2 linked regions of the Stegostoma tigrinum genome follow. The protein of the gene in region 1 purifies or fractionates together with the protein of each later gene. This does not show direct contact. Links are inferred from orthologs where the notes say so. Each region holds a gene or a part of one and is shown in the gene's direction. Other genes may lie near its edges. The genes, in order: brinp1 and sirt1.

The links.
Region 2: the proteins of brinp1 (region 1) and sirt1 purify together in Homo sapiens (affinity purification with western blotting; 6 studies listed by BioGRID and IntAct, with this or other methods). This does not show direct contact. The link is inferred for Stegostoma tigrinum from reciprocal best matches to the Homo sapiens genes BRINP1 and SIRT1.

What each region holds. Positions count from the first base shown.
Region 1 is NC_081382.1:10,769,333-10,785,691, forward strand, and holds the start of brinp1 (BMP/retinoic acid-inducible neural-specific protein 1), read left to right. Parts: upstream 1-7,675; 5' UTR 7,676-8,184; intron 8,185-16,359. UniProt on the Homo sapiens protein: Plays a role in neurogenesis and brain development. May suppress cell cycle progression in postmitotic neurons by inhibiting G1/S transition.
Region 2 is NC_081373.1:55,229,733-55,246,333, forward strand, and holds the start of sirt1 (NAD-dependent protein deacetylase sirtuin-1), read left to right. Parts: upstream 1-9,359; 5' UTR 9,360-9,398; coding exon 9,399-9,579; intron 9,580-16,601. UniProt on the Homo sapiens protein: NAD-dependent protein deacetylase that links transcriptional regulation directly to intracellular energetics and participates in the coordination of several separated cellular functions such as cell cycle, response to DNA damage, metabolism, apoptosis and autophagy.

The sequences.
Region 1 (16,359 bases):
CGTGGATCTTTGCAAACTTCTTATTTCTGAACTCTAACGTGTACAGAATTTAAGCGAGAATTTTATGCTTGTAGTTTCAAAACACTTCACAGTAAAAAGACTTGACATTAAATTCCAGGTTATTGGACTGTCCTGTTACACTCCTATGAATAATAAAATGTGAGGCTGAATGAACACAGCAGGCCCAGCAGCATCTCAGGAGCACAAAAGCTGACGTTTCGGGCCTAGACCCTTCATCAGAGAGGGGGATGGGGTGAGGGTTCTGGAATAAATAGGGAGAGGGGGGAGGCGGACCAAAGATGGAGAGAAAAGAAGATAGGTGGAGAGGACAGTATAGGTGGGGAGGTAGGGAGGGGATAGGTCAGTCCAGGGAAGACGGACAGGTCAAGGAGGTGGGATGAGGTTAGTAGGTAGGAGATGGAGGTGCGGCTTGAGGTGGAAAGAGGGGATAGATGAGAGGAAGAACAGGTTAGGGAAGCAGAGACAGGTTGGACTGGTTTTGGGATGCAGTGGGTGGAGGGGAAGAGCTGGGCTGGTTGTGAGGTGCAGTGGGGGGAGGGGACGAACTGGGCTGGTTTTGGGATGCAGTGGGGGAAGGGGAGATTTTGAAGCTGGTGAAGTCCACATTGATACCATTGGGCTGCAGGGTTCCCAAGTGGAATATGAGTTGCTGTTCCTGCAACCTTCGGGTGGCATCATTGTGGCACTGCAGGAGGCCCATGATGGACATGTCATCTGAAGAATGGGAGGGGGAGTGGAAATGGTTTGCGACTGGGAGGTGCAGTTGTTTGTTGCGAACTGAGCGGAGGTGTTTTGCAAAGCGGTCCCCAAGCCTCCGCTTGGTTTCCCCAATGTAGAGGAAGCCACACCGGGTACAATGGATGCAGTATACCACATTGGCAGATGTGCAGGTGAACCTCTGCTTAATATGGAAAGTCATCTTGGGGCCTGGGATAGGGGTGAGGGAGGAGGTGTGGGGGCAAGTGTAGCATTTCCTGCGGTTGCAGGGGAAGGTGCCGGGTGTGGTGGGGTTGGAGGGCAGTGTGGAGCGAACAAGGGAGTCACGGAGAGAGTGGTCTCACACACCACCCCACCAACCTCCGGATACAACGCATCATCCTCCGACACTTGCGCCATCTACAATCCGACCCCACCACCCAAGACATTTTTCCATCCCCACCCTTGTCTGCTTTCCGGAGAGACCACTCTCTCCGTGACTCCCTTGTTCGTCCCACACTGCCCTCCAACCCCACCACACCCGGCACCTTCCCCTGCAACCGCAGGAAATGCTACACTTGCCCCCACACCTCCTCCCTCAACCCTATCCCAGGCCCCAAGATGACTTTCCATATTAAGCAGAGGTTCACCTGCACATCTGCCAATGTGGTATACTGCATCCATTGTACCCGGTGTGGCTTCCTCTACATTAGGGAAACCAAGCAGAGGCTTGGGGACCGCTTTGCAGAACACCTCTGCTTGGTTCGCAATAAACAACTGCACCTCCCAGTCACAAACCATTTCCACTCCCCCTCCCATTCTTTAGATGACATGTCCATCATGGGCCTCCTGCAGTGCCACAATGATGCCATCCGAAGGTTGCAGGAACAGCAACTCATATTCCGCTTGGGAACCCTGCAGCCCAATGGTATCAATGTGGACTTCACCAGCTTCAAAATCTCCCCTTCCCCCACCGCATCCCAAAACCAGCCCAGTTCGTCCCCTCCCCCCACTGCACCACACAACCAGCCCAGCTCTTCCCCTCCACCCACTGCATCCCAGTCCAACCTGTCTCTGCTTCCCCAACCTGTTCTTCCTCTCACCCATCCCTTCCTCACACCTCAAGCCACACCTCCATCTCCTACCTACTAACCTCATCCCACCTCCTTGACCTGTCCGTCTTCCCTGGACTGACCTATCCCCTCCCTACCTCCCCACCTATACTCTCCTCTCCACCTATCTTCTTTTCTCTCCATCTTTGATCCGCCTCCCCCTCTCTCCCTATTTATTCCAGAACCCTCACCCCATCCCCCTCTCTGGTGAAGGGTCTAGGCCTGAAACGTCAGCTTTTGTGCTCCTGAGATGCTGCTTGGCCTGCTGTGTTCATCCAGCTCCACACTTTGTTATCTTGGATTCTCCAGCATCTGCAGTTCCCATTATCACATCACACTCCTAAGGATTTTTGTTTTCACTTCTTGGGTGATTTTTCATACCAACTACCTGTCTACATAGTGGAAACTTTAATTTGTTTGAACAAAGTGGGTTAACTGAATGTTTAAAAGCAGAGTTATTGGTCCAAATTTCATTTACATTCACGCACAGTTCCTTCCTTTTTTTTCAAGGGTAGAAACATTACTGTCGAGGGTAGGATGAAGAAATCACCTTTAACTGTATTCGATCATCTCAACTTTTTAAAAGTACATTCATTCATGAGATGCGGGTGTCATTAGCTAAACAAACGTTATTGCACATCATAATTGTCCTCTATAGAAATTAAGTCAACCACATTACTGTAAATGTGGACTCACGTAGGCCAGACTAGCTAAGAATGGCAGATCTTCTTCCTTATGCACATTAAATAAAAACTACTTTTATGACATAAATTGGTTGACATGATTCAGAACCTCCAATGTCCCAGGTGATAACATCTATTCTCTACAGCTCGCACAAACAGGTAGCAGTAAACTATGTTTTGCTGTTTATATATTGTGGCCTGATCAATGGGTAATCCAATAGAGAATTTTGTTTGTTACAATGTCAGCGATAACTTGAGCTGGAAGTTACTTTGTTCTGATATGACAAAACATTTTTGTCCATTGTTGTGATTTAATTTGCATTTTTGGATAAATTGCTATATTTTGTCCAGTTAAGGGTCTTGGCAATCTTCTACTTTCTGGGTAGCAGAAACAGAAATAAGTCCAGCTGCAAAAACACCTGGTTTACTCAGCGATAAAACAATGTTATTGTTCTGACTTAACAAGTCTGATTCTCATTTCATCAATCTATAGCCACTGAGATTGTCAAATCTACTCACTATCTCTCATAGTGTGCGAAGCATTGTACTGTGGCCGAAAATCACTTGAGACTAAACATTTTCCAAACTTATACCATATGGGGCTGCAAAACAAGGTTTTGATAAGAGTTGGAAAGATCCTTCCACTAATAATGCAAGGTTTCAAGGATAGGGTAGGAGTATGTGTCTAGGTGGGATGCTCTTCAGAGGGTCAGTGTGGATTTAATGGACCAAATGGCCTGCTTTCACACTGTGTAGGGATTCTATGATTGAAACAAGAATTGGATCTCAACTGAACTGTTAGGGTTAAAAATTTTTCTTCCTTCACGCATTCCTGGTCTGCCCTTTACCAAAGCAACAATGGAAGAGACAGTTTATTCCTGAATACATAAATATTCGGCACCCCATGTTGCACTAACATTTCTTTTGAAACCAATGACAGGAATTGCTCATTACCGCATTTTGTTTGAAACATTTTGATAGCATAACCTGGGGTTGCTGAAACCCCAATAGTTCTTCTCTCAGACTAGCTGACAGGGTGCGAAGCGTCTCTCAGTTTTGTTTCTGGATTGGGGAACAGACAGTCAAATATATCATCACGATTTTCTTGGCAGCACCAAGAGCCTGTTGATAAATGAAGCCTTACTCTGATTTGATGTCCATCTGTTTAGGAGATGGGTACTTGCTGTTGTGCGCTACACTTCCATTTGACACTTATTTTCCAAATTATAAATTGCAACCGTATTTTTCCATAGTGCTGCATGAGAATGTTTATGCAGATAATTCTATGCTAAATCGCATACAGTTGCAAAAGCATACATGGGCCACTCTGCCCAATTTTTCTATGCTCTCTCTTTCTAAGAGTTGTCAAACATAGTCCCTTAGCCCTGTAAATGTGTCCAGTTGACTTTCAAAAGTTCTACTTCACACATTCAATAATGCTTCCAATTCATTTCAACCCTCTGTGTGAGGGGTGGCATAGTGTCTCAGTGGTTAGCAATGCTGCCTCACAGCACCAGGGGCCTGGGTTCAATTCCCCTTCAGGCAATTGTCTGTGTGTACTCCCAGCATCTGTGTGGGTTTTATCCAGCTGCTCTGGTTTTCTCCCACAGTCCAAAGATGTGCAGGCTGGGTGGATTGCCCACACTAAATTGCCATAGTGTTCAGGAATGTGTGGGTTCAGGGAACTGGTCGGGGTGGGATGCTCTGAGGGTGGGACTTGTTGGGTTGAAGGGCCTGTTTCCACACTGTAGGGATGCAATGGATATGGAAACCTGCTCTCATTTACTGTTTAGCATTGGGTGTGTCGTCTTTTCTCCTTGAACTGGAACTTTCTCCATCTTCAAGACTTGTCACTGCTTATATGCTGTTTTCCTGTCCAGTCTTCTACTTTAGCCTATCTCTGCTGGATTCTTTCACAAATTGCATTATTTTTAATTTAATATTTTAAGACTGTCGGGGTTGAAGTAGGCCATTCAGCACATCAAACTCCTGCACCATTCAGTGTAATCATGCGTGACCTGATAATCCTCAGCTCCACTTTCCTGCCTTTTCCCAACAACCCTTGATGCCCTGATTTATAGACAGAACTTCAATCGCAACACTGAATTTTTCCATTTCTTTCTTTGTTGCTTTCCTTATCTCCTTAACTTTATTATGATCACTATTACCTCGATGCTTCCCCCCAATAATAACCTATTCGATCTACCCCATTTTACTGCATCTAGCTCTTAAGGATACTGATTAAAATAAGGTTCTGTGCACAAAGTACAATTCTTGACTTATTGCCATTTACTGCAATTCCTCCCCTTTCCTATACTGAGTATCAGAAACTGCCTGCCCACCCCCCACCACCATTGCTACTCTATTACTTTTATTATGACTATTTGCTGTTACTACAGATTCATCCCTCAGTTTCCTTCTTTATATTAAGCATCACCACCCAGCAATACTGTGAATGTTTATTTGCTTGTTCCTTTTACTGCAACCAACTGGATTCTTTTTTTCAGCCACGTTATCTATTTTAGTGAACTTCCACACTAATTGAGCATAATTAGCATCCTCAATTTCTATGTATGAAATTAGCTCAATATAAAACCCAAACATAAAACACTTTCAAGGAACTGCGTTATTTTTGTGGTGCAATCGAAGCGACTGCTGTAGTTGGAGATGCAGTTCTTTGGAGAAGCCTTCAAGGAGAGCTTGTGTTTTCTTGTCTGTGTCCGTCTGACTATCCACAAGGTCAAGGCTCAGTGGTTAGCACTGCTGCCTCACAGCGTTAGGGACCTGGGTTCGATTCCACCCTCAGGTGACTGTCTGTGTGGAGTTTGCACGTTCTCCCCGTATCTACATGGATTTCCTCCGGGTGTTCCGGTTTCCTCTCACAGTCTAAAGATGCGCAGGTTAGGTGGATTGGCTGTGATAAATTCCCAAAGTGTTCAGGGATATGCAGGCTAGATGGGTTAGCCATGGGAAATGCAGGGTTAAAGAGGTAGGGTGCATTTTGCTGTGATGCTCTTTGCTGACTTGATGGGCTGAATGGCCTGCTTTCAGACTGTAGGGATTCTATGAAGAACTGGCCAGTGGGCAGGGCTGAATTTAATCAGCGGATGGTCATGCGTGTGTGAGATCTTGCTGTGCCCGGGGGCTGCAATTTAAGAAGAAACATAGGAAGTTTCTGTCTCATGAGACCAGCCAATGTAACGGGAAGGAACATCCCCCCAGCATTAGCTACGCATGGCTCTCAAATCTGACAGAGGAAGGCAGCTTGTTCCATGAGGTTGGCAGGACTGTTGGCTCGACTGCATGCTCCAGATCTCTGTACAGTTCTGCCCAGCACTTCCTGCGGTCAGTCGCTTTTCACTCTTGTGATTTCATGACAATGATGTGTAAATGCATTTATTTACCTTCGGCCAGCACAATGGAACTGGCAAGGGAATAATGAAACCGAGTGGCATAACTCCAAAGAGACTGGCATCCAGTCACCAAGATCCCCCTTCACTTACACATGGAGTGTCTTTGGTACTGATCCAGCTCCCTCAGAGCTAGGTCTCATAGTGCGCAAAAACCCTGACACTTCCGTTGCTATCTGTCAGCCAGGGTTCCCTCATTGGAACAAATTAACAGCCCCAATCAGGGAATTCCTATTCTATGAGGTTCAAATGGCTCGTTACCGTCATTACACTATGGATAGCCAAACAATCTGAGGAAGGGTCATCAGGAATTGAAAGCCCTTAACGCTGACGTTTTTTCTTCACAGATGTTGCCACAGGCCTGCTGAGCTTTTCTAGCGACGTCTGGTTTTGGTCCTGAATCTTATATTAAACCCTGGCTTCCATTTGGTATCTGTGAAAGGTGGGGAACAAACCCATTGCCCATTTGGATTCGCTTTGGAGAGAGGAACATCTAGTCCGGAGCTAAAGTTGGGATAAAGGCGATGATGCCGTGTGAGCACGGATCCTCTGACCGGAATACTGAAACATTCCGCCCTGCCTGCGTGCAAACCTCAAGGCTTCGTTTTGCAAACAGTAATTTATTCAGCAGAAAGTAATACATTCAGAAATCGTTGCATGCAGGCAAACATCGACAGTGCATTGCGCGGGAAACAGTCATGTGAAAAAAAATATTTTCTGCAGAAAAAAAATTAATGTGGATACAGACTCAACGTGGATACAGGTTCCTGGCGTGGTTCAGAGTTGGTAATTCCGACTGAGATCTAGACTAAAGTGACTCGCAGGCCCCCGGCACGGGGGTGGGATGGTGTTAAACTGCATTCTGCTAGCGCCGGAGAAGAGAGTGAACTTTTCACCGGCTCACACACTCCGTCCCCGGTGACTGGCAACGGCAGGCTACAGACAGACCCCCCCTCACACACACACACATATACAAAATCCCTTCCTCATTGCCAGCTTCTCAGTCACTAGTCACTCCTAGAGTTGGACAGGTCGTGAGAGCAATTCCAGAGTTTTTGTTTTTATTGACAAAAGATACACAACAATCTTAAACTTCGTCTGCTGGTAACAGAATCAGTTGTGATTTCCAAAGATCCACTTCACAGTGCTTGCTTGATGTGATTTAGGAATTGGAATCAGAACCTGGAGTTTCTCTCTCTCTAATCTGCTTCAGCGACTTGCCAATCGTTTCTGGCTAAATTGCAGCTCTCTCCCTGTGTCTCCAGGGTTTAGTGTCCCCATCGCTCTCTCTCCCCCAATCGATTACTGTTCCCTCCTGTCTGCATCGCCTACAGCTCGCAGATAAGACTCTAATACCGACTTAAACATTAGGTTCTCCTCTTTTAAAAAAAACAGAATTACAGAAATTCTCAACCCACCTTTTATTGATCCCGCTCCAAAACACCTTTTAAGAGAAAAAAAATCATGTTTTTCGTGTAGATTTTGCAATTAATGACTTTAATCTCTGTCTCTAGATGTTTCACTTGGTGTACGTCCCGCTTTCTTATAATTTAAAATAAATCACACCCACCCCCTCCCGAGGGTACGAACCCACGGGGGGGCAAAGGCGGAATAAACACAGCGCGTTCAGCTCCCTGATCCGAGCTGCCAATCAATTTCTGCTTGCAGCTTGTGTATGAGGGAGTCTGCAATTTTCCCCTCCTTCCATCCCGCCCCGTCTCTCCGCCTCCTTTTTCTCATTCTGCTCATCTCTTTTTGCAATCTCCTTCCTCCTTCAGTCTATCCCTTCTCTCTCTCTCTCTCTCTCTCTGTGGCTCCCGGTTCATTCAGTCCATCTCAGTCCCTCCTCTCTCTGTCTGTCTCCAACAGTACAGGACTTTCTCATTCACTACAGATTCCTCTCACACGCTCGGAGCTCCCAATCCGAACAGCCTTTCCACACACAGACACTCGAGAATGTTACTGTATTTGGTGCTCCTGGTCTCTCAAGTCTCGGCGGACGGTCGATAATGAGCGATTTCCCCTTTTCGGTTTTATTTTTATTTTGTTTTTAAATATATCAATCCTCAACAACCCGCCTCAAAGTCTCATCGCTCCGGCATGAAAAGAAGGGATTTCTGTCTCTCCTCGTCAATCGCCTTCAGCTTCCCAGGTCCCTGCCCGAACCGGAGCTGGAACTATAGGGTCGGCTGCAACTTTATACTGAGCTGCTTCGACACCGGGTCTCTGTGCATCTTAGCCGCCCAGGAGAACGGTCATTAGGTGAGACATTTCTGCTGCCGCTGGAGGAGGGAGAGAGAGGGCTGAAAATATTTAACACGATAAAATATTTTGATGGGGTCGGGAGGGGGTGGTGCGGATGGTCAGTGCTTGAGATTGAGAGCTGCAGTGTGACTGAACAAATGAACGGCCGGGCTCTGTGTATGTGTAGCGGCGCTTGTGTTCCCCAGCCACCACATCCCTTTCCAGGTTGGATTTGGGCTCGGGAATGTTGCTGGGATCTGTCGGGAGAACCCGACGGGAGAGGGTAAGGGGTGTGTGTACCTGCAGTGCTTTCAGACTCTCTCGCTCTGAATCGCAGCCATCTACAACCCCTGCCCTTCCTCTTACCTGCGCGTCTGCTGCATGTTTCAGAGCGGGGCTGGTACAAATGGTGTTTAATGTTTACGGTCAAGGTGTGAGCTGCTGAGAGAGAAACCTGCTCGAGGCTGGAGGAAGGAGAACAGCGTGCAGTGTGCAATATATCGAAGGCGAAATGCAAACACGGAGTTGTAGGGGGTTTGAACTAACGGGAATTTGAAATTGGGAAAAAAAATCAACCATATTTTAAATACGTGCGTCTTATTTCATGCAAACTTTGCAATCGAGTAAGCAGTTTATTTTTTATACGTGTGAAGGATGCATTTTAATGGAAGTTCTGTTCCGTATAAATATTCTGTTTTTATTAATCTTGTACTACAGTATCTCACTTACCATGTAATTTTTTAAAAAGCTTTTTTTTAAAAATAGAAATATTCTGTCACCACTTTTTGCTGCTGCAGAGGTAGGCTTAATTTTGTAAAGTCCAACATTCCTTTTTTAAAAGTTTTCATGGATGTGAGACAAGGGACCGGGATCTGCAGAAAGGCGATGCTATCCCACTAGGGGGAGCCGTTACTCTATCCAAATTACCTGTGACTGGAGTGAGGTTTTGCTGTGGACGAGCTCAGTGTCTCTTTAAATGACAACTATTCGGCAAAAAAAAAGAAAATACACCTATAGTTTATTCTGTAGGGTCATCACGTGAAAGGGACGATTTATCCTGCAACATGCAGATTACGTAACATGCCATCTCTTTGGCGATCCCATAGATTGATGCAAACAGCACAGTCTGTTCTGAATCTCCTGCCTTCCAGCGTTGACAAGTTAATGATTGATTGGGTGGGTACTGAGCAAACTACCTACTCCCAGATCATTGACTACCACAGACCACCTGACCGAACCAACTGATTGATGTCAAGAAAGGTGGAATTATTCTTAATGTGCAATGCTGGTTCGCCCTAACCTGCCCATTCCCCAACCCCCAACCCATCACCCACATTGAATGTGCAACTGCCTTTCCCTGGTGCAGAATTGCTGACCTGCCTTGCCCGCTTTCCTGCTCGCCAGCTTTTCCCTAATACTGCCCTCTCCCCCACCTTACCCTAATAGTGCCCTGTCCCCCTGCCTTACCCTAATACTGCCCTGTCCTCCTGCTTTTCCCTAATACTGCCCTGTCCCCCTGCCTTTCCTTAATACTGCCCTCTCCCCCTGCTTTTCCCTAATACTGCCCTGTCCCCCTGCTTTTCCTTAATACTGCCCTGAACCCCTGCCTTACCCTAATACTGCCCTGTCCTCCTGCTTTTCCCTAATACTGCCCTGTCCCCCCGCCTTTCCTTAATACTGCCCTCTCCCCCTGCTTTTCCCTAATACTGCCCTGTCCCCCCGCCTTACCCTAATACTGCCCTGTCCCCCTGCCTTACCCTAATACTGTCCTGTCCCCCTGCCTTTCCCTAATACTGCCCTATCTTCCTGCCTTTCCCTAATACTGCCCTGTCCCCCCGCCTTACCCTAATACTGCCCTGTCCCCCTGCCTTTCCCTAATACTGCCCTATCTCCCTGCCTTTGCCTAATACTGCCCTGTCCCCCTGCCTTTGCCCGGTACTGGCTGGTTTCCTGTTCCTCACTCCACGTAGCTCCCTTGAATTTTTGTTCTTTGTTTTTATTTTAAAGGGAATTAATCATATTCCAGCATATTCCAGTGTCTGGTATCACGTTCACCATCAATCCACTCCTTCCTCTTTTCTAATCACAAAGTGATTCCTTTTCAAGCGGATGGGTTTTTTTTTGGTTTTAACCTGGTGACCATGTGTCCTGGGGAATGGGGCGCATTTGGATTCGAGGCTGTCCGGGGGCGAGTGGACTTCTTGAATTGGAAGGCAGCGTTCTGTGTGCAAAACCCCTGTAACCACAGAGAAAATGTGCCTGGGACTGCACGGTGGAGGGGGAGGGGGGGTGCAACCCACCGTGTGGCTCACAAGTGCTGTGAAGTTTCACTGTCCTTCAGAATAGAGTGGGTAGCAGAGGGGGAGGGAGGGAGGAGAGAGAAATAAACACGCACTGGTGGCTGCCACATCTGGCCCAGTGTTAGCCTGTAAGCACCCTGACTGTTCTGTTGCCCATTGAATCACTTTCAAGCGCACTTTGGCCAGTCTGTGAGAAATAAGACGGTGATCTATAGCAGAGGTAAGTCTATTGCTTATCAGTGTGAGGGAGTCATTCAATGGAAATCCATCCTCTCTGTATTATACGCTGAACACGCGCAGCAGGCCCTGGGAAAAAGCTCTGTGATTTTGTTTTGTGTCTGTGTGATTCTGGTTCATCTTGCAGTGGAGCACAAGCCTTGCAGTCTACAAAAAACTGAGCAGTGCTGCGCGCACAGAAACCAGCAGCAAGCTGCTGCGAGAATTTATTCAGGTAGCAGTGATGAATGTGGCTGGTGCAGATAGACTTGCAAATAGATTGTTTACTCACCCTCCTCAATTTATAACCAGAATGGGCTTTTAGCTATGAGTTCTCGCCAGCAGTTTAATCTCACATCATTAACTGGCTGATTGTCCAATGCCATTTTCTGATTTTATCGAAAAGAAGCTGACAAAATGAGAACCATTCTTGATGACTGAAGGCTTAAAATGTAACACAAAACCCCTGCACAGCCACCCTCAAAACTGTATTACCCATCATCTTATTCTCTGAATAATTTAATCACAAGTCCAATCACTGTGACCTTTATTTTGTGTTTTTTTTTCATTTCCTCTGTGTGTGTGTGTGTGTGTGTGTGTGTGTGTGTGTCTTGCATTTACATTCGCAAGAGCGGGGCAGCTTGTTTTCACATGGTAGTACTTGGTACCCATGCAACTGAGTATAGGGACCCTGCAAGCTTTGTCGACCGTGCAAACTGTGACGCTGCAAATGTTTTGCAACTTGGCATCTCCCACAGATGCCACAGAGCAGAATTTCTGCTGCCAAATTGAAAATCAGGGATGAAAATTGCCAGGGGTTTCTGTTACTTAATACATGCCTTTGAAAAATGAAGCATTTTCCTGTTCTCTGTTGTTACAGGTTGGAGGAATGCTCACAGGTACATTTTTAAAAAGGCAAAAAAGACAGTCAATGAATGAGTGAAGAAACTTTGTTCATTTAATGAAAACTACAAGTTGTATAATTAGCCAGGGGTTTTTGCAGTACAAGTGGCTTAAAGAGATTATTGTTGAGTTCTTGGCTGTGGGTGGAGGTGAATCTAGAAATTTTGCTTAATGCTGGTGTACAAATCCTTTGCCAGCTCCCACAAACTAAAAGTGCCTACTTGTTTAATGTAGGCATTAACCGACTTATTGTGGTTGTGTTAATATTTCTGATGTAAAAAGGAGCTTCAGATGAATTAATGAATCAGTGTGAACATGCTTCTAACATACAGTGTATGTGCTAGACTCTGATGATGAGCAAGTAGGATTAATTTCTGAGAAACAATGTTTAGTTATCAGTAAATGTTAAAAAGTGGAATTGACTGGAAGAGTACCGGAACTGAAGGTCTCTCTATTGTTTCTACCTCATGAGTCACAGTTATAGCCACCTGCACCAACTAGACATTACTAGACATGTCACTTTCAACATTTCTGTTCTAAATGTCTGCCTGAAAACTCCTGAAATACACAGAATTAGAATCAAGGATAACTGATTGATCTTGGCCAGTTTCAACACTCCAGACAGTCACTGTCATTAGTTGTAACATTCAGTTATATCACGGGTGATCTGTATCTTCAGTCAATCCATCTGTCTTGGTTCTACAACCAACAAAAGGCTTGTCTAATAAAAATCTATTGAGTTCGATTTTGAAATTTTCTATTACCTTGCCTCAGTAGTGCTTTTTGAAGGGAGAATTCTAGATCTTTGTGCAAAGTAAAGATTCTTAATAACACCCTTGAAAAAAGCTGGCGCAAATTCTAAGATCCTACCCCAATTGAAAGAAATGGCTTCTTATATCCTTCAACTGTCTTAAACACTTCTAATAGATCATTCCTCAATTTATTTTCAAGGAAATACAAGTCTAATCCGTCCTAATAATTTAATCATTTTAACCATGGTACATCCTGGGTCGGTCTCTGCAGTACCCCTTCCAGAGACACAGTTTCCAAAATGAAAGACAGTCCTCCAGATGGGAGTGTGGACAAGCTTTAACTATCTTAGACTTATATTCCTGCCTTATTCAGATTGAAGGCTAACCTTCCATTCGACAGATCAGTGTTAATTCTTGCTGGTTGGTTTTATATTTTTAGAAACTGATTATTTTATTCAGGCTGACAGCAGGTTTGGCCCTAGGCCCTCCCTGTATTTGATCTCTTGAACTCCCAACACCAACATTTTATCCCGAGCGGGTCTGTTCAGGATGACAACATGAAGCAGGCATTGAACGGGAAATATCCATCAACAGGCTAACACACTTTTAAAGTGTAATAGACTTCTGGCACAATGGTAGTGTCCTTATTTCTTATCCAGCAGGTTCAGGTTCACCTGCCCTGTAGGTATGTCAGAACATGTCTGACCAGGTTGACATAACAAAAATAACTATAACAAGTCAATGGATTAAAAAAAAAGTGATTCCTACTCTCCCACTGGCACTAAAACAAAGGCCGCTCAAGCTTAATTCCCCACCTCTGGACCAGGAGCCCTGGGTTCAAATTCCACCTGCTCCAATGTGTTGGAACATGTCTGACCAGGTTGATTTAAAAATATCTTTGAAAACTTGCAAAGCCCTGTAATGCCTTACCCCTTCTCATCCTGGAGACCAGTTACTAGTGGTGTATCATCCTGGAGACCAGTTACTAGTGGTGTACCGCAAGGGTCAGTGTTGGGTCCGCTGCTGTTTGTCATTTTATAAATGATCTGGATGAGGGAGTAGAAGGATGGGTTAGTAAATTTGCAGATGACGCTAAGGTCGGTGGTGTTGTGAATAGTGACAAAGGATACTGTAGGTTGCAGAGAGACATAGATAAGCTGCAGAACTGGGCTGAGAGGTGGCAAATGGAGTTTAATGCAGACAAGTGTGAAGTGATGCACTTTGGTAGGAGTAACCTGAAGGCAAAGTACTGGGCTAATGGTAAGATTCTTAGCTGTGTAGATGAGCAGAGAGATCTCGGTGTCCATGTACACAGATCCTTGAAAGTTGCCACCCAGGTTGACAGGGCTGTTAAAAAGGCATACAGTGTTTTAGCTTTTATTAATAGAGGGATCGAGTTCCGGGACCAAGAGGTTATGGTGAAGCTGTACAAAACTCTGGTGCGGCCGCACTTGGAGTATTGTGTACAGTTCTGGTCACCGCATTATAAGAAGGATGTGGAAGCTTTGGAAAGGGTGCAGAGGAGATTTACTAGGATGTTGCCTGGTATGGAGGGAAGGTCTTACGAGGAAAGACTGAGGGACTTGAGGCTGTTTTCATTAGAGAGAAGAAGGTTGAGAGGTGACTTAATTGAAACATATAAAATAATCAGAGGGTTAAATAGGGTGGATAGGGAGAGCCTTTTTCCTAGGATGGTGACGGCGAGCACGAGGAGGCATAGCTTTAAATTGAGGGGTGAAAGATATAGGACAGATGTCAGAGGTAGTTTCTTTACTCAGAGAGTAGTAAGGGAATGGAACGCTTTGCCTGCAACGGTAGTAGATTCGCCAACTTTAGGTACATTTAAATCGTTGTTGGATGACCATATGGACGTACATGGAATAGTGTAGGTTAGATGGGCTTGAGATCGGTATGACAGGTCGGCACAACATTGAGGACCGAAGGGCCTGTACTGTGCTGTAATGTTCTATATGTAACATTGTCAAGGTCCACTGAGAAATCTGTGCTTGTTAAATTCTGAGCTCATGTGATTTTCAAGTTTTTGTGGCTACGCCATGGGCAGCATATTTTCAGCTTCTGCGTTTACCAAGATTTTAGCTACTGGCCCCAATGTGGCTCATCTTGGTAATGCTCACTTTGATAACAAGGGTGTGTAACTGTACTAAAAGTGCTACCGAACTGCAAGCTGCAATTGTTGCTAAGAGTGCAAGTGTCTGCTCTTTTTAGTTTGGTTGGTTGAAACTTGACATTGAGAGAAACTGAAACAGATTGAAAAATATTATTGAGGGCGTGGAACATTTGACGCAGAGAGAAGGCAAAGAAATTAACTTGTACCTGATGATAGTGATCTTAATATTTAACCAAATGAATGTATAGGTGGAAAGTTGAGGCAATAATGTATAACAAGAACACACTGTGCAACTATTTAAATGATAGCTTGTGTTTATATCCTGTTGAACATGCAGTTGTAATGCAGATAATGAAAATCTACTACCTTTCAGCCATAGGTCCCCTTCATGAACATAATGTTTAATAATTGACTGGATCGTTTGCTATTCCTTGAGTTTGATGGATATTATGAAGGATAAATGTTACATTAAATTGTTGATCCAAAAACATGAGAGTAAAGTTGAGTAACATTTGGCCCTATCATTTTACCAATTAGGCACTCCAGTGGGTGGTTAGCAGTTGGAATTGTTTGTGAGAAAACTATACTTGAAGCCAGGGCATTAGATTTATTTGTAAAATAAATGTATTTGGAAGATGGGAATGTCATGATTGCAAGGTCAGATCAAATGGGCATGAGGACCTTCTTTATCTAATTTGTGACCTGTCAAAATCGTTTAATGAAGTTACCAGTCTTTTACCTTATCCCCGTGATTTAATTATGTCTTCTGAGCAGTGCCGACAAATACATTCTGTGGACTGGAATCCTATATCGAGCTTTTGAAAAGTCTGTGTTTATTTGTAAAAATGTTCCCCTTTTTGCCTTTGAGGAGATGCATACAGCCCTTAGTGGTGCTTGTTATGAAGTTTGCTCAAACATTGAAAAAAAGAAGCCTTTCACCATCAGGAAGCGTTTATTTTTGTAATATTTCTCCATTGATACATTTTAGGAATATGTTTGATGGTGCTGTAACAATGAAAATAAAAATAAATGGTAAAGGTGAAACTTCTATTTACTCAGATGTAAGCAAAGATGAATGACAAGTTTACAATGTTGAAGGTGAATTCGCAAAGTTTGTAATTTTCAGTCAGATAGTGAAATCTTAGCCTCATGACTATGATGGGAAGAATAATACCTGCCATCAGGAGGCAGGAGGTTGGTGGGGCTGGGGTGAGATGCAGTAAAATAGCTGGGAGATGCACCCAGGATGGTCCACCTTATTCATGGGGAGGTTTCTCACCAGCAGACTGCAAAATGGATCAACATTCAGCTGATTTGAGTAATCAAGGGTCCCACCGAGAGAGACTGCAGATGTTCTGCCATTGGAACTCACCGGGGCTTCTTCACATTTGGTTCAGTTTTCAAGTTTGCCATCAGTTTGCACAACTTTATATTTGTGCAGCTCACTGGTCCAGGGGTATGGCTCTCGCTGTGGACCTTTTATTGACTAAGTACGTGAGAGGTCCCCAGTTTCAACTCCTGGACCAGCCCTTCTGCCATGCCCCTTCCCGCCTGAGATGCTGCTTCATCTTCTCGTGTGCCTCAGCAGTAGCGCCTGTGCTTCAAGCCCAGAAGACCCATGTTCAAGTCCCACCTGATAGACGTGGATAACGTGTCAGTCTGAAAAGGTTGATATTAATTTGTCTGCTGACAGCAGGGCAGCTTTCCTGCATCAGTAGGGAGACCACCAGCTTCATGGAGTGAATTTCCCTGTGGGCACTCAGTGGCTGGTAAAATCTTAGCCGCAGGATGGGGCCTGGTCAGGTTAGTCTCTGTAATCCCAGTGGCCTGCCATCCCCGGGGGTGTTTGCCGAGAAATCATGGGACCTTCTCCCTCGTACATCCTGAATTTTGA
Region 2 (16,601 bases), on another chromosome or scaffold:
AAATGCAAGCACGTCTCGTCCTGCTCCACGGAGCGGACCCTGGACTGGAAGATTATCCTGGAGGCCTCCGCGGCGAAGAGCGAGGCTTGCTGGCCCCTCACCTCGCGGAGGTCCTCCGTGACATCGACCCCCATCAACTGCAGAAGAAGCAGGCTCTGCACCCTTTTCTGGAGTCGCGACAGCGTTCCCCGCCTCTCTCTCGCCTTCCGAACACCCTTGGAGGACAAAGAACCTCTTGATGTTCTCCTTCACCGTCTCCCACCAGTTGCCCGGAGACTCAAAGAGGGGTTTCACGGTTCTCCAACCAGCGTACTCTCTGTTAAGCTCCTCGACGTTCTCTGGGGTCAACAGTCGTGTGGAGCTTCCACGTCCCCTTGCCGGCCTGCTGGTCGTCCTGTAAGTGACAGTTGGCCAGCAGGAGGCAGTGGTCAGAGAAGAACACCGGCTCGACGCCGGTGGTCCTGACTGAGAACGCCCGTGACACAAACAGGAAGTCTATCCTTGAGCAAATAGACCCGTCTGGCTGCGACCAGGTGTATCTCTGCTGTGCTCCGTCTGCAGGGGTGCTGAAGATGTCAAACAGCTTGGTGTCCTTCCCTATGCCCATCAGGAATCTGGACGTGACGTCCAGTTGATTCCCCCACCCGCTGTCCCCATGCCGGATCTTCCATCTGCATCGATGATGCAGTTGAAGTCTCCGCCTAGGATGACCGGCCTGGATGTAGCCAGCAGGGGTGGAAGCTGCTGCAGGACGGCCAACCGCTCACTCCGTACCGCTGGGGCGTACACGTTGATCAGCCTCAGGGGAGCATTCCTGTAGGTGACATCAGCCACTAGGAGGCGCCCCCCCCACCACCTCCTGAACTTGAGAGATGGTGAAGTTGCGCCCCCGCAGCAGAATAGCCAGGCCCGAGGAGCGACAGTCGTTACCCCCCGACCAGATCGAAGGCCCACAGGTCCAGGCGCCGGACCATTTCCCGTACCTGCTGAGGTGCGGTATCCTGCACTCCTGCAGAAACAGGAGGTCTGCCTTGACGGTGGTCAGGAAGGCCAACGTGGACACACATCTTGCAGTGGACTTGACGCTGCGCACATTAATGCTCGCAACTCGTACGCCCATTGTGGGCAGTGACCGCAGTACCCTCCCCAAGTCCAAGGTCCAGCACCTCCATCTGTCCCTTCATGCCCATTGCCCAGGCTAACTGCTGGACGTTCTCCGGGCTCAGGAAACCGTCCGTGCTGCCTTCTGGGCGGCATCCCCCCATCGGGGGTACGGAGGTGGGAGAGTCCGGCTCTGGGTCAGGCTGGGGACATGCTGTTTCCTCCTTCCCACCTGAAAGTTCCGGGCGCCCTCCAGGGCCCCAGCAGCGCATGGCTGGGTGTCGGAGGGAGCCTCAGGATGCCTCCCATCACTTGGAATCGGGGTGCCGCTTTCCTTCTCCCTTGAGATCTTTAGCTTCTTCTTTGGGCGGGCCTCCTCCAAATCTCCCTCGTCAGAAGAGCTCTTATCGCCCCCCTGTACCTGCCTTTTCCTGCCTGATGGTTGTGGTGCCAGGGCCTGCCGGTGCGCCTTCCTCCTTGCTTTCTGGACCATCGTCCACTCCCCTGGGTCACCTGTCAGCTCCTCCATCGACTCCGGGTTGTCGGGGGGGTGGGGGGGGGGGAGCGGAGCCTGCAGGGGCGCTTTGCTGGCCTCGGGTCCATCTTGCGGGGCTGGGCCGTCCTGCACGACCTGGCCCTCCTGCACATTAGGTGGGGTCCTTGTAGGGGCCTGGTGCCTTCCTCTCCTCCGGGGGACTTGCCCCGCATTGCCCCTGCCGGTGACCTGGGCATAGGTGGTCCCCCACTGCGGGCATGCCATATAGAGGTGGCCCGCTTCCTCGCAAAGGTTGCAGCTTTTCTCTTGTGGGCAATCCTTTGCAAGGTGTCCGTCCTCCCTGCAGTTCCTGCAGATGGTGGCTTACAGTCGGCCGCCACATGACTTGACCTCCCACAGGCATGGCAGACTTTAGGTTGCCCTGCGTAGGTCAATTAGCCCTTGCTCCCGCCGATCGCGAAGCTGGACGATGGGTGTATGATGTTCCCGTCCGAGCCCGTCCTTAGCGTCACCCTGACTGCCTCTTACTGGTCCAGATCCCGAAGGGGTCCATGATGTTGGTTAGGTCCCCTTCCACATTCACGTACCTTCCAAGGAAGGTCAGGACATCAACTGCTGGCACATGCAGGTTGTACATGTGTACAGTCACCATACGGCTCCTCTGCACCGGCATCACGAACAGCGGGACAGCAGTCAGTACGGAGAGGGGGCCCTCACCTCCTTTCTCCTTGAACACCTCCAGGAAGCGCTCGCAAAGCTTGGCACTCCTGAAGGTCACATCGTAAAAACCCCCTCCGGGGAAATCCTGCAGGCAGTAAATGTCCGCAGCAGCAAACCCACAACAGTCCAACAGGACCCTCTTCATGAAGAAGGTGCGGTCCACAGGTGCACCTTCATCACGGTAACGCAGATGGTGTTCCGGACCCCCTGACCCGGGGCATGAGCAGTCGCTGCAGCCATCGTTGCAGGTTGGCTGCTCCCCTGAACCAGCGTTAGGCCGAAGCCAGCATTAAGAACCACCGGTTGCAAGGGTGCACAGCCAACCTGACGTCTTCCTTCCACTTCCAACACAGTTGTGCTCTCCTCTTTTCGGTCCACAAAAGAGTGGGTCTTTATTTTGTTCCGGATGTAAGCTGGTTCACTGAGCTGGAAGGTTAGTTTTCAGACGTTTCGTCACCATTCTAGGTAACATCATCAGTGAGCCTCCGATGAAGCACTGGTGTTATGTCCTGCTTTCTATTTATCTGTTTAGGTTTCCTTGGGTTGGTGATGTCATTTCCTGCATTGGTGATGTCATTTCCTGTTCTTTTTCTCAGTGGATGGTAGATGGGCTCCAAATCAATGTGTTTGTTGATGGAGTTCCGGTTGGAATGCCATGCTTCTAGGAATTCTTGTGCGTGTCTTTGTTTGGCTTGTCCTAGGATGGATGTGTTGTCCCAATCAAAGTGGTGTCCTTCCTCATCTGTATGTAAGGATACTAGTGATAGTGGGTCACGAACCATGAACCATAAACCATAACCACTCTCCCCTACATCAAAGACATTTCCAAAATGACTGCCAGGCTACTCAGACCTCTTGGCATCACGGTGGCCCACAAACCCACCAACACACTAAAACAGCAGCTAATGAACTTAAAAAACCCTATACAGACAACAAGCAAAATGAACGTCATCTACAAAATACTTTGCAAGAACTGTGACAAACACTACATTGGACAAACAGGCAGAAAGCTAGTCACCAGGATACATGAACATCAACTAGCCACAAAACGACATGACCCGCTATCACTCGTATCCTTAGATACAGATGAGGAAGGACACCACTTTGATTGGGACAATACATCCATCCTAGGACAAGCCAAACAGAGACACGCACAAGAATTCCTAGAAGCATGGCATTCCAACCGGAACTCCATCAACAAACACATTCTTTTGGAGCCCATCTACCACCCTCTGAGAAAAAGACAAGGAACTGACATCACCAATGCAGGAAATGACATCACCAACCCAAGGAAACCTAAACAGATAAATAGAAAGCCAGACATAACACCAGCGCTTCGTCGGAGGCTCACTGATGATGTTACCTAGTATGGTGACGAAACGTCTGAAAACTAACCTTCCAGCTCTGCGAGCAAACTCACATCCAGAACCTCAACCTGAGCTACAAATCTTCTCAAAACTCGTGTGTAATTCATATAGATCATCCTTGTCGGTATTTTGGATGTAAGAGTTAGTTATTCCTGTGAACGGTTTTTTCCTTTTTACAAAGAAAGGTCATAAAGTCCATCCAGAACAGTGATTTAAATCCAACTTCCTTCAAAGAGCAGGTGACTGTGGACCTTGTGGTTAATGGAAAGATGTGTATACAATTCTGTTCACAATAGACAGGTTAAACATCTAAGATTATTAGCTTTGTTATGAGCTCAGAAGAGCTTAGGATGGGCAAAATGTTTTTGAATTTGGTTCAGAAGACACCATTTTCTCCTGAAAGGAGGATTTGGAGCAGTTCAGAGAACTATCACTTCAACAGGATTTAGTTTGTGAAATTTCTAAACTAGCGTTTGGTTAGTAATCTACAGGCTGTTGGTGCCAGGTTTAAGCTCTCAGATTTGTGAAAGGTTCACATCAGCAGATTTGAAAATGGCACATTGAGGTCTTCATAGTCCAAAAGGAAACCACCAGTCAGTTAAATACAACATGAGAGAACTGAGATAGGGAAGTAATTTCTCTAGACTTCAATCTATCGATCAGACAGTGTCACAAAACAGGTTGAAGTGTTGTTTTGCTGTGTGTTTAGATCTCGCTAGCTGTATTCTGAAGGGGTTGAAAGTTTTAGTTAGTTAATGATTAAATTCTCAGTCATTCTCATGGCAAATGGGAACCAGATGTACAAAGGCAGACGATAAGCTTAAGAGCTGCACTATCCGCAACATAGAGCCAATGCTGTGAGAGACACAGATGGTGTTTGTAAAAAGTGTGGGGAAAAAGTACAAACATAGCAACTGTACAAAGGGGTCGGACTTTCTGGGAACTGACCACAAACAACGGAATTCGGTTCTTGCAAAGCTTCACCAAAAAGCAGCAAACCAGATGCATGTGTAGTCCACAAAGCTGATCTCATCTACGCGTGGAAATATCTTCACTACTTTTGCCCCACTAAACTCTTTTGTAACTTAAGAAGAGCTCCAACACATCACACTCCAAACACACTAACCAACTGCCACTTCTCTGGCTCAGTCACTCACCTACCATCTGAACCTCTCATCCACCCCATCATGTTATCACTTCCTCGCCTATCACTTTACCCCCTCACTCACCACCTTAACCCTCCTGTCACTCAATCCCTCATCTTCCATAACACACCACCACCCCATCCCCTCATTCTCCTGTCACTTGTGTTTTACCCACCTGCCATCTGGGGGGGGGTGGAGGCAATTAGATCAGTTGGAGGGAGCATTGGTTTGTGCTGCAGAGCATTCATTTCCCACATCAGCTGAGGTTACCATGAAGATCCTACCTTCTCAACCTTGCACCTCACCTGACTCTCAGGTTAAACCTACCGCCGACTGTCTCTATCCAGTGAGTGAGTGTCCCTGTGGTGAATGTTAACTTAGGCATCTGCCGCAACGTCCCAAAACATCGGCAATCGCTGGAAAAGCTCAGCAGGTCCGGCAGCATCCGTGGAGAGAAATCAGAGTTAATTTTACTGGGCGAGTGGCGCTTCCTCAGAACCAAGCTCAGTTCTCACCTTGACCCCGAACGGTAACTCTGATTTCTCTCCACAGATGCTGCCGGACCTGCTGAGCTTTTCTAACAGTTTCTGTCTCTCATTTACAACTTTTTTCTGGTTTTGCCGAAACAACACACCAGCTGACCGTATCGCCCATTTATTTTAAAGACTTACCTTCACTCAACAGTTTCTCTTTGGGCATTTAATGGAATGAGGCAACTCATACCATCAAAAAGGAGCCCTAGTTTCCACAAGAGGCTCTCTGATGAAGGGTCTAGGCCCGAAACGTCAGCTTTTGTGCTCCTGAGATGCTGCTTGGCCTGCTGTGTTCATCCAGCCTCACATTTTATTATCTTGGAATCTCCAGCATCTGCAGTTCCCATTATCTCCGAGTGCCTTGTATTGCTTGGGTGAGGAGTGGGGTTGCCGAATGGGCAAGAAACAATTTACCCAAGAACATAGCAGAGACTTAGGAATTGGGAGGGGCAGAAGTGAGTGAGCTGAGGCCAGAGAGGTTAGGACACAGTGTCACATCACTACCTAGCCCTTGGAGGGTTTGAGACTCAGCAAAATATCGATGGTAATGACAAACAAATAGGCCTTATAGTTTATTTCAGGTTTACAGCATCTGTGGCATTCTCACTGGATCACCACCATAGTGCCAACTACTGCCTTCAGTAGGGTATACGTATCAGAGATAATGGGGACTGCAGATGCTGGAGAATCCGAGATAACAAAGTGTGGAGCTGGATGAACACAGCAGGCCAAGCAGCATCTTGTGCTCCTAACATGCTGCTTGGCCTGCAGTGTTCATCCAGCTCCACACTTTGTTATCTCGGGTATACGTATCTGTTGAGTGCTTATGTTAGCTCCTACAACTTAACAAGGCAACAGTGTAATGAATGAGGTAACTGACACTACTGAAGCTCCTGGTACATACATACATTACAGTTGCAGGTACTTCAGTGTTTAGGCTAAGATGAAGCTACTCAATTACAAATGGTAGCATCTTCAAGTGGCCCTGGTTAACATGGAATATGAGACCTTTATACCCTTAGGTCGCCTGGCATGATGTGGCGATGATTTCATGAGCACATCTCTTCGAAATATATTACATACAAGCTGTGAGACATAACAACAGACCATAGAAATTCAGTGCGGGACAGAACAACAAATGCTTCAAAGAAGGTTACACAGAACTGATGATGCCATCTACAAGGGAGACGAAATATTTGCATTAAAGCCAGTCAGCTCGGCGAACCAACCAACAACTCCAATGTAACAAATTATCTAACGTGGGGTGGCACGGTGGCTCAGTGGTTAGCACGGCTATCTCACAGCACCAGGGACCCTGGTTCAATTCCAGCCTCAGTTAACTGTCCGTGTGCAGTTTGCACGTTCTCCCCGTGTCTGTCTGTGTGGGTTTCCTCCGGGTACTCCGGTTTCCTCCCACAGTCCAAAGATGTGGGTTGGCCATGCTAAATTGCCCATAGTGTTCCGGCATATGTAGATTAGGTGTTATGGGGGATGGGATGCTCTGAGGGCTGGTGTGGACTTTTTGGGCCGAAGGGCCTGTTTCCACCCTGTAGGGATTCTAGGACCGAAGTTCTGACAGTGCATTCATGCCCACGCATCACACTAAGTCAGATTTCTTACAAGTTAGGTTAGAAGTCATTGCACAGGAATGAAATGTCACAAATGAACTATGTGCCCATTAGAGTTCCCATATATCACTAACCAGTTTGGCAAGAATTGGAGGATTTGCTATTTTATTATCATCATCAACAGTCTGCATTTATACATTGTTTTTAATATAATATTGATTACAGTAAAAATAGATGATCAATATCAAATCCCATCATCTAAGAGTCATTCCTGAGACCCTTTCCAGAGCAAAACACTGGTTTTAAAAAAGGACAGATATTGGCTGCTGTGATCACTTGTCCAGTTTGAGCCAAATTCATGAGCACATCAATAGACAAAGATTAGTGAGCTGAAAGTAACATTGTTCTAAATGCCACTGAACATCCTGACTGCTTCACAATTTCCTGGAAGTTACACATTGGAATCCACAAAAGAATTCTATTTCAGGAAATTGCTTTTGAGCAGAGAGAGTGAAAAATATGAAATAGCATACTATAACCAGGAAGTCTCTCTCCTTTTTCTGAAGAGGGATCCCGGCCGGAAACATCAGCTTTCCTGCTCCTCTGACGCTGCCTAGCCACCTGTGTTCATCCAGCTCCACGTTATCTATCTCAACCTCAAGATCATTGCCCAATGATAAACAACTTGTAAACTCATTGACTAAAATCCCAAATCTACAGATTTACCTTTACTGCAAAATAGAAGTCAACAATTTAATGTTTTATCAAAGATCTGTAGCTCGGACTGCATTTGGAGTTGTTGATTGGCGTGTCGAGCTGATTGATTTTCATGCAGAGACAGTAGGAACTGCAGATTCTGGAGAGTCTGAGATAAAAAGATGTACAGCTGGATGAACACAGCATGCCAAGCAGCATCAGAGGAGCAGGAAGGCTGACGTTTTGGGCCTAGACGCTTCGTCTTTTTCTGATCAGGGTAATAGAGCAGAATGCAGAAGGATAGGAAGATGAAGGAGGCAAGGATCAGTGCCAAACCAATACACTATCCAATACATGTTGTTCCTGTAGTCAATTCTGCAGGTTGTGAGGGATTGCTGGTTGGTATCACTGAGGGGTGGTCCACACAGTTGTGACAGTAACATATCCTTAATTGATGAATTGGTGAGACCTGATGAGTCAATCAGGATCACTGCAGAGCTAACCAACCAGGGTAGTGACAAGCAGGTAGGCAATAGAATCTTACAAAAGAAACATTCACCCAACACCCACTCTTTCTTTCCCTGTTAACCACCCCGACCAAACAACCTCACAGTCCCCCAGTGAAAAACAACAGAATTTGAATACAGTGGACCTGCATTTTGAAGTACACAAGATGGTTTGGAGCAGTATGCTTCATTCATAAATTATGCTTGTTTATCCTTATCATCTCCCCCGTGAACAACCGCTTGCACACACCCCTCTCCCCATCCCCACACCCACTCTACCCCTGTAACCCACACCCACCACCCCCAGCCCCATCCCCAACCCCCTTACGCAGACCTTCCACCCAACCCCCCTTATCCACACCTTCCAACCCCTTTACCCACACCTTCCATCCTCTTCCGACCCTTACCCACACCTTCCACCCGCATCCCCTTACCCACACCTTCCACCCGCATCCCCTTACCCACACCTTCCATTCTCCCTTACCCCCACCTTCCACCCCTCCCCCATTACCCCCACCTTCCAAACCCCCTTACCCCCACCTTCCACCCCTCCCCCATTACCCCCACCTTCCACCCCTCCCCCATTACCCCCACCTTCCAAACCCCCTTACCCCCACCTTCCACCCCTCCCCCATTACCCCCACCTTCCACCCCTCCCCCATTATCCCCACCTTCCACCCCTCCCCCATTACCCCCACCTTCCACCCCTCCCCCATTACCCCCACCTTCCACCCCTCCCCCATTACCCCACCTTCCACCCCTCCCCCATTACCCCCACCTTCCACCCCTCCCCCATTACCCCCACCTTCCACCCCTCCCCCATTACCCCCACCTTCCACCCCTCCCCCATTACCCCCACCTTCCACCCCTCCCCCATTACCCCCACCTTCCACCCCTCCCCCATTACCCCCACCTTCCAAACCCCCTTACCCACACCTTCCCCCCCTTACCCACACCTTCCCCGTTACCCCTTTACCCACACCTTCCACCTCCCCTTACGCAAACGTTCCCCTAAACCCCCCCCTTACCCACACCCTCCTCACCCATACTCCCCCCCACCCCCACCCCCACCCCCTCCCCCTCCCCCTCTTTGCGTACTCTTTCCCCACTCCCCTTACCCACACCTTCGATCCGCTCCCCTCCCTCAACCCCATTTTCCTCACCTCACCCTCATCCACCCAGCCCCCGGGCTCCTTTTGCGCAGGCGCGGCTGTCGGTGCCCCCTGACCCCAGGCCCACGTGACGGCTGGGGCGGTGCTGGGGAAGATGGCGGACGGCGATCAGCTCCGGAAGAGAGCCCGGCTCGACGGCCCGGCACCAGGCCCCGCTGGCACCGGGGACCGCCGGCGGAGGGCGCCTGGCGCCGAGCAGCAGGACTCCGCCACCGACAGCCGGCACGATCTGCCGCCGAGTGACAGCCCGGAGAATGGGGCGGCGCCGGGGGAAGGTACCGGGGCCTGGGGCAAGGGCAGGTGGGGGTGTGGTGTAAGTGTAGGGAGTACCGTGGAGGGTGATTGAAGCCTGTGTGCATGGGTCATGTCGAAAGGGAAGGTTGGTGTGGGAGAGGTGGTATGTGATGGTGGGCTGGGAGAGTCTGGCACAGGGGGAGTGAGGCAGGGGGTGTGTGTACTCTGGGGAGGAGAGCAGTGGGTAACAAAGGCAGACAGCTATCAAATGCAGCTGAGGTAAGGGGTGAGGTGGCAAAGGGTGGTAAGTGGGTACTGAATGACATTTGGCTGATTACAGGAAATAGGGCAGGAGGTGGCACCCTGGTATTACCATTAGACCCTGGCGTTGTACTGAGTTCAATTCCCACCGTGGCAGATGAAGAGCTTTGAACTCACCAGAGTCTAATTGCCACGAAACCATTGACCGAAAAATCTGTTTGATTTGCTGATGTTCTCTAGGGAAGGTAACTTCTGCTCTTATCTGGCCTGGCCTACATTACCCCAGTTCTACTGCAATATTTTTGAGAAGACTTGTAGCTCAGGTTGTGGATGAGGTTGTTGGCTTGCTCTCCAAATCGGTGTGTTTGATTGCAGACACTTCGGCACCCTGTAGGTAACATTGTCAGTGCGCCCCGGTGAGCACTGACAACATCATCTAGCAGGATGACGAAACATTTGCAATCAAACACACTGGTTCGGCAAGCAAATCTACAGCCTACAGCAATATGGTTGACTTTTCCCTGCTATCTACGACTGACTTGTGAAAATGACTAGAACGTCTTATGGAAGAAGTAAAATCAGACTACTACCTCATTTTGACCTAGGTACCAGAAACAGCACCAGCAAACACAGCTCTGCTGACCCTGCGAAACCCTCCTTAGATACACTGGGGGCCAGTGCTAAAACTGGGAGAGCTGTCTCACACTCACAGAATCATGTCTTGTAGATGATGTCCCACTGTCAGGCAGACGCAGCAAAGCTGGTCACACAGCAGTACATATTTGGGGTGGTGTTGTGGGAGTGGGGGATGTGTTTGGGGAAGGGTGATGGGGCCAGGGAAATTACCCTGGGTGTCCTCAACATTGACTCCTCATTGGAGTCTCAAGGCACTAGGCCAAATGTGGACAAAAAATTTCCTGCTGATTACCACATGCCATCCTCCCTTGGCTGATGAATCAGTACTTCTCCATGTTAAACAATACTTGGAGGAAGGAATGAGGGTGACAAAATGTACCCTGGGTGTGGGATTTCAGTATCCACCACCAAGAATTTCTTGATAGCTGCACTACTCATTGAGCTGTTCGGATCCTAAAAGACATTGCTGCTAGACTGGATTTGCAGCAGGTGTGAGGGAATAAAACAAGAGAACATAGCTGACGTTACCCTCACCAATCTCATCCCCTCAAATCTGCTATACCGCAGATGCATCTGTCCATGACAGTATTGGTAAGCGTGACCACCATACAGTCCTTGTTGAGACAAGGCCTGGTCTTCTTGTTGAGAATACCCTCCATCGTGTTTGTGTGTCACTAAATGAGATTGACTAGATCTCACAACTGAAGACTGTGCATCAGTGAGACAACATGGATCATCAACAGCAAGAGAATTCTGTTCGAACACAATGTGCAACCTCATGGCCTGGCATATTTTCCCCACTCTGGCTTTGACATCAAGCCAGAGGATCAACCCTGATTCAAGTGCAGGAGGCCATGCCAGGAACAGCAGCTATCATTCCCAAAAAATAGGTGTCAACTGGTGTAATGACGAAGCAGGGCTACATGTGTGTCAAACAGCATCAGCAGCACGTGATAGACAGAGCTAAGCAATTCCACAACCAACAGATCGGATCTAAGCTCTGCAGTTCTGCCACGTCCAGAACTGAATGGTGGTGGACAATTAAACAACTCACTGGCGGAGTTCCATCCTCAACAATGGGGATGGCTACCACACCTGTGTGAAACATAAGGCTGAAGCATTTGCAAAAACCTTCAACCAGCATTGCCAAATGGATAATCCCTCTTGGCCTTCTCCAGTTGTCCTCAACATCATATGTCAGTCTTCAGCCAATTCAATTCAGTCTGTGCAATATCAAGAAACAGTTGAAGACATAGGATCCTGTGAAGGTTCTGGGTCCTCACAACATGCCGATAATAGAACTTTGAAGTTTGCATCACATATGGGGTGATTAAGAAGGTGTTAGCATGCTTGCCTTCATTGCGCAGACTTTTGAGAATGGGAGCTGGGACATTACTTTGAGGCTGTACTGGACATTAATAAGCCCTCTTCTGGAGTACTGTGTCCATTTTTGATCTCCCTGTTAAAGGAAGGATATTATTAAACTGGAGAGGGTTCAGAAGAGATTTACCAGGATGTTGTGGGAACATAGGGCTTGTGTTATAAGTAGAGGTTGCATAAGGTGGGACTTCTTTGCTAGAGGAGGTTATTATCATTATTTTATAAATCTCTATGGGAACTATAGTTAAGGTGAATGGCAGGTGTCCTTTCCCTAGGGTGGGGATTTCAAGTCGGGGGGAGCATATTTTTAAGGTGAGAGGAGAAAGATTTTAAGGAGACACAAGGGTTTTTGTTTACACACTGTGGTTTGTGTGTAGAATGAACTTTCAGAGGAAGTGGTTAATGCGGGTACGGTTACTACATTTAAAAGACACTTTGGGTAAGTACATGAGTAAGAAATGTTTGGAGGGATATGGGCCAACCTCAGGCAAGTGGGACTAGATTAAGGTCAGCATGCACTGGTTGGACTGAAGGGTCTGTCTCCATGCTGTTTGACTCTGGAATTGAAGAAACATGTACTTGAATAATTAGGTTTTAATAAAATGTACAGACGGGGAGGGGCAAAGCAAGGGGAAATAATTTCAGGAGGAAGTTCTAGTCAGAGATTAAAATCAAAGTTCTGCCATCAATAGCGGCACACAAGGTGGACGGACGTAGTGAGGCCTTTGTTAGGGGAACGAGCTTATCTATATACAGGAAATACAACAACCGAAACTATAAAAATAATTAAAAGTAGAGCTGCTTAAAAGTTATGTTTATCCTAGGTTACAGTTTGAAGAAGGAAGGGTACAGATGGCATAGTGCAGTTTGAGTATCAGAGTTTAAAGAGGCCCTGTGTGCCTGGGTCAGTTAGTACATACCAAACTAATCTAGTCCCATGTTCCAGCACTTGTCCCTTGGTCTTGTATGCTGTGGTGTTTCAATTACTAATGTACTTTCAAGTACTTCTTAAACGTGAGGGTTTGAATTCCAAAACCTTTGCAAACAATAAATTCCAAACTTCTATCACCCCCTCAGTGATAAACAGTGATTTGAGCAAAGAATTTAAGCTGTGGGAGAATCCATATCCAATTTAAATACAACCTTAAGCCATAATTGGAAATAAAAAGCCCCATAAATTACAGGTGCAGAGAATTCTGAACACTGTCTTTCTCAGCGTTGCCAAAAAAAACATGGCTGATATCAAAAGCTGTTTGTGGACTTGGATTGCTGTTTACAAATTGGCTGCCAGCTTTCCGACATTTTAACATTTCAAAAAGTATTCCTGAAAAAATGTACATTTTGTTGCAACTGCTGCTTGCAAACTTAGTAAGGGTCCAGCATTAAATGCAATTCTGTGATTGGACAGTATTTGTTAATCTTTTAAAACTGATAACTGTTCAGGTTCTCATGCTGTGCACTGGAATCTGTGTTTATTAATGCACAGGCCCCTGTTCTTTCGTAGAAGCCACACAGTGTGGAAGCAGGCCATTTAACCTATCCTGTCCCCAGGGACCCTCTGAGGAACATCCCACCCAGTCCCTGTAACCCTGCATTTCCCATGGCTCACCCACTTAAACTGCACAACCCTGAACGCGACAGGCCATTTAGCATGGCCAGTCCACCTAACCTCCGCATCTTTAGACTATGGGAAGAAACCAGAGGACCCGGAGGAAACCCAGGCAGACATGGGGAAAATGCGCTAACTACTGAGCCACTGTACCCCTTTTACAGGCAAAAGGAGCATGTGCACTAACTTTGTTGGTTTCAACTTTCAAAATAGGTGACTGCCATTCTCTAGTGCATTTTTGAGTCAATGTCTTGGAGTCAATTCCGAGTCTACTTGCTTGGTTTAAAATTTAAACAAAGCCAGCAGTTAACTGTCAGTCATGAAGTACTCCATTCTCCACAGTAGTTCCTGTCTCCATGACTCATCAGTTCTTTCAAAGTGTAGATATTTTTCGTTTACTTAGGTATTTCCTGCAAATTGCATTCTTGCATACAAGGTAAAAAGTTTCAACAAAATATGGCCTTTCAATGATTACAAATTCTATATCACCAAATGACTTGTTCAAAAAGTACTTCATTACTAGACAGTTTGGAACATCCTGAGTTTATCGAAGTTGCTTTATAAGTGCAGTCTTTTTAGTACTTTTAATTGAGAAGCAGTTTCAGTAATATTCAGCTGAAAATTTATATGTAGAAACAGCTCATAACTGTCACCAAAATATTCATGACGATAATGCAGCCTGATGATTTTTTTTTAAAACTGGTGACTTCTGTTTTCTATCATGACTTTGTTTGATATTTTGGGTAAGGGATAGACCATTTAGGACTGAGATGAGGAGGAATTTCTTTGCTCTGAGGCTGGTGAATCTTTAAAATTCTCTACCGCAGAGGAATACAGTGACTGACTCACTGAGATAGATAGATTCTAGTTACTAGATACATTGAGATTGGAAGTATAAGAAAATGGCATTGATGTAGAAGATCAGCCATTGTCAAATTGAGTGGCAGAGAAATTCCAGGGGACGAATGGCCTATTGCTGCTCGTATTAATTAGAGAACCATAGAGTGATACAGCATGGAAACTGACCTCTCAGTACAATTCGTCCATGCTGACCACGTATCTTAAATTAATCTAGTCCCATTTGGCAGCATTTGACCCATATCCCTCTTAAACCCTTCTTATACATATACCCATCCCAATGCCTTTTAGATGTTGTATTTGTACCAACCTCCACCACTTCCTCTGGCAAGTCACTCCATACACACAACATCCTCTGCATGAATAGGTTGCCCTTTCGGTCTCTCTTAAATCTTTCCCCCTCACCCTAAACCCATGCCTTATAATTATGGACTCCCCCACCCCACTTGTCTATTTACCCTGTTCATGCCCCTTGTGATTTTATAAACCTCCATAAGCACCCCTCAGCCTCCAATGCTCCAAGGGAAAAGAGCCCCAGCCTAGTCAGCCTCTCTCCCTCGCTCAAACCCTCCAACTCTGGTAACATCCTTGCAAATCTTTTCTGAACCCTTTCAAGTTATGCACTGTCCTTCCTTAAGCATGGAGACCAGAATTGAATGCTGTTTTCCAATAGTGGCCTAACCAATATCCTGTACAGTCACAACATGACTTTCAAATCCTACACTGAATGCACTGATCAATAAAGGCAAGCATACCAAATACCTTCACTGTCCTGTCCACTGGCTCTGCACTTTCAAGGAACTGTGAACCTGCATTCCAAGCAACAGTCCCTAAGACCTTACCCTTAAGTGCATAAGCCCTGCCTTGGCTTGCCTTTCCAAAATGCAGCACCTCGAGTTTATCTAAACTAAATTCCGTCTGCCACTCCTCGGCCCATTGGCCCATATGATCACCATCCTTTTGTACTCTGAGGTATCTATCTTTGCTGTTCACTACACCTCCAATATTGGCATCATCTCTAAATTTACTAACCATGCTCCCTATGTTCACATCCAAGTCTTTTATATAAAATGACAAAAAACAGTCAACCTAGCACTGATCTTCGTGGCACACCACTGGTCAAAGGCCTCCAATCTGAAAAACAACCTTCCACCACCTTCTGTCTTCTACCTTTGATGCAGTTCTGTACCTACATGGCTAGTTCTCCCTCTATTCAATGTGATCTAACCTTGCTAACCTGTCTACCATGAGGAACCTTGTCAAACGCCTTACTGAAGTCCATACAGAACACATCCACGCCCTTGTCCTCTGCAATCCTCTTCATTACTTCTTCAAAAAACTCAGTCAAGTTAGACACAATTTCCTACACACAAAGCCATGTTGACTATCCCTAATCAGTCCTTGCCTTTCCAGATGCATGTAAATCCTGTCCCTCAGGATTCCCTCCAACAACTTATACACTGCCCATGTCAGGCTCACCAGTCTATAGTTCCATGGTTTTTCCTTATCACCTATTTAAAAAAGAGACCCCATGTTAGGCACCCTCCAGTCTTCTGGCACCTCAACTGTGGCTATCTCAGCAAGGGACCCATCAATTACTTCCCTAGCTTACCACAGAGCTCTAGGGTACACCTGATCAGGACTTGGGGATGTATCCAACTTTATGCATTTTAAGACATCCAGCACCACCACCTGTGAATATGGACATTTTTCAAGATGTCACTATTTATTTCCACACGCTTTCTATCATCCATATCCTTCTCCACAGTAAACACTGATACAGAAAACTCATTTAGTATCTCCCCCATCTCCTGCAGTTCCACACAATAGCAGCCTTGTGGATCTTTAAAGGGTCCTATTCTCTCCCGAGTTACTGTTTTGCTTTTAATGTATTTGTAGAATCCCTTTGGATTCTCCTTAATCGTATTTGCCAAAGCTATTTCGTGTACCTTTCTCGCCTGCTTGATTTCCCTCCTGCTTTTATACTGTTCTCGGGATTCACTCAATACCCGCTGTCTAAAGCTATCATATACTTCCGTCTTTTTCTTCACCAACAGCTCAAGTTCTGTAGTCATCCAGCATTCCCTACACCTACCAGTCTTTCCCTTCACCCTAACAGGAGCATACTGTCTCTGGACTCTTGTTATCTCATTTTTGAAGGTTTCCTATTTTCCAGCCACCCCTTTACCTGCAAACATCCACCCGCAATCAACTTTTGAAAGATCTTGCCTAATATGGTCAAAACTGGCCTTGCTCTGATTTAGAACTTTAACTTTTGGATCTGGTCTATCTTCTTCCATCATTATTATAAAACTAGAA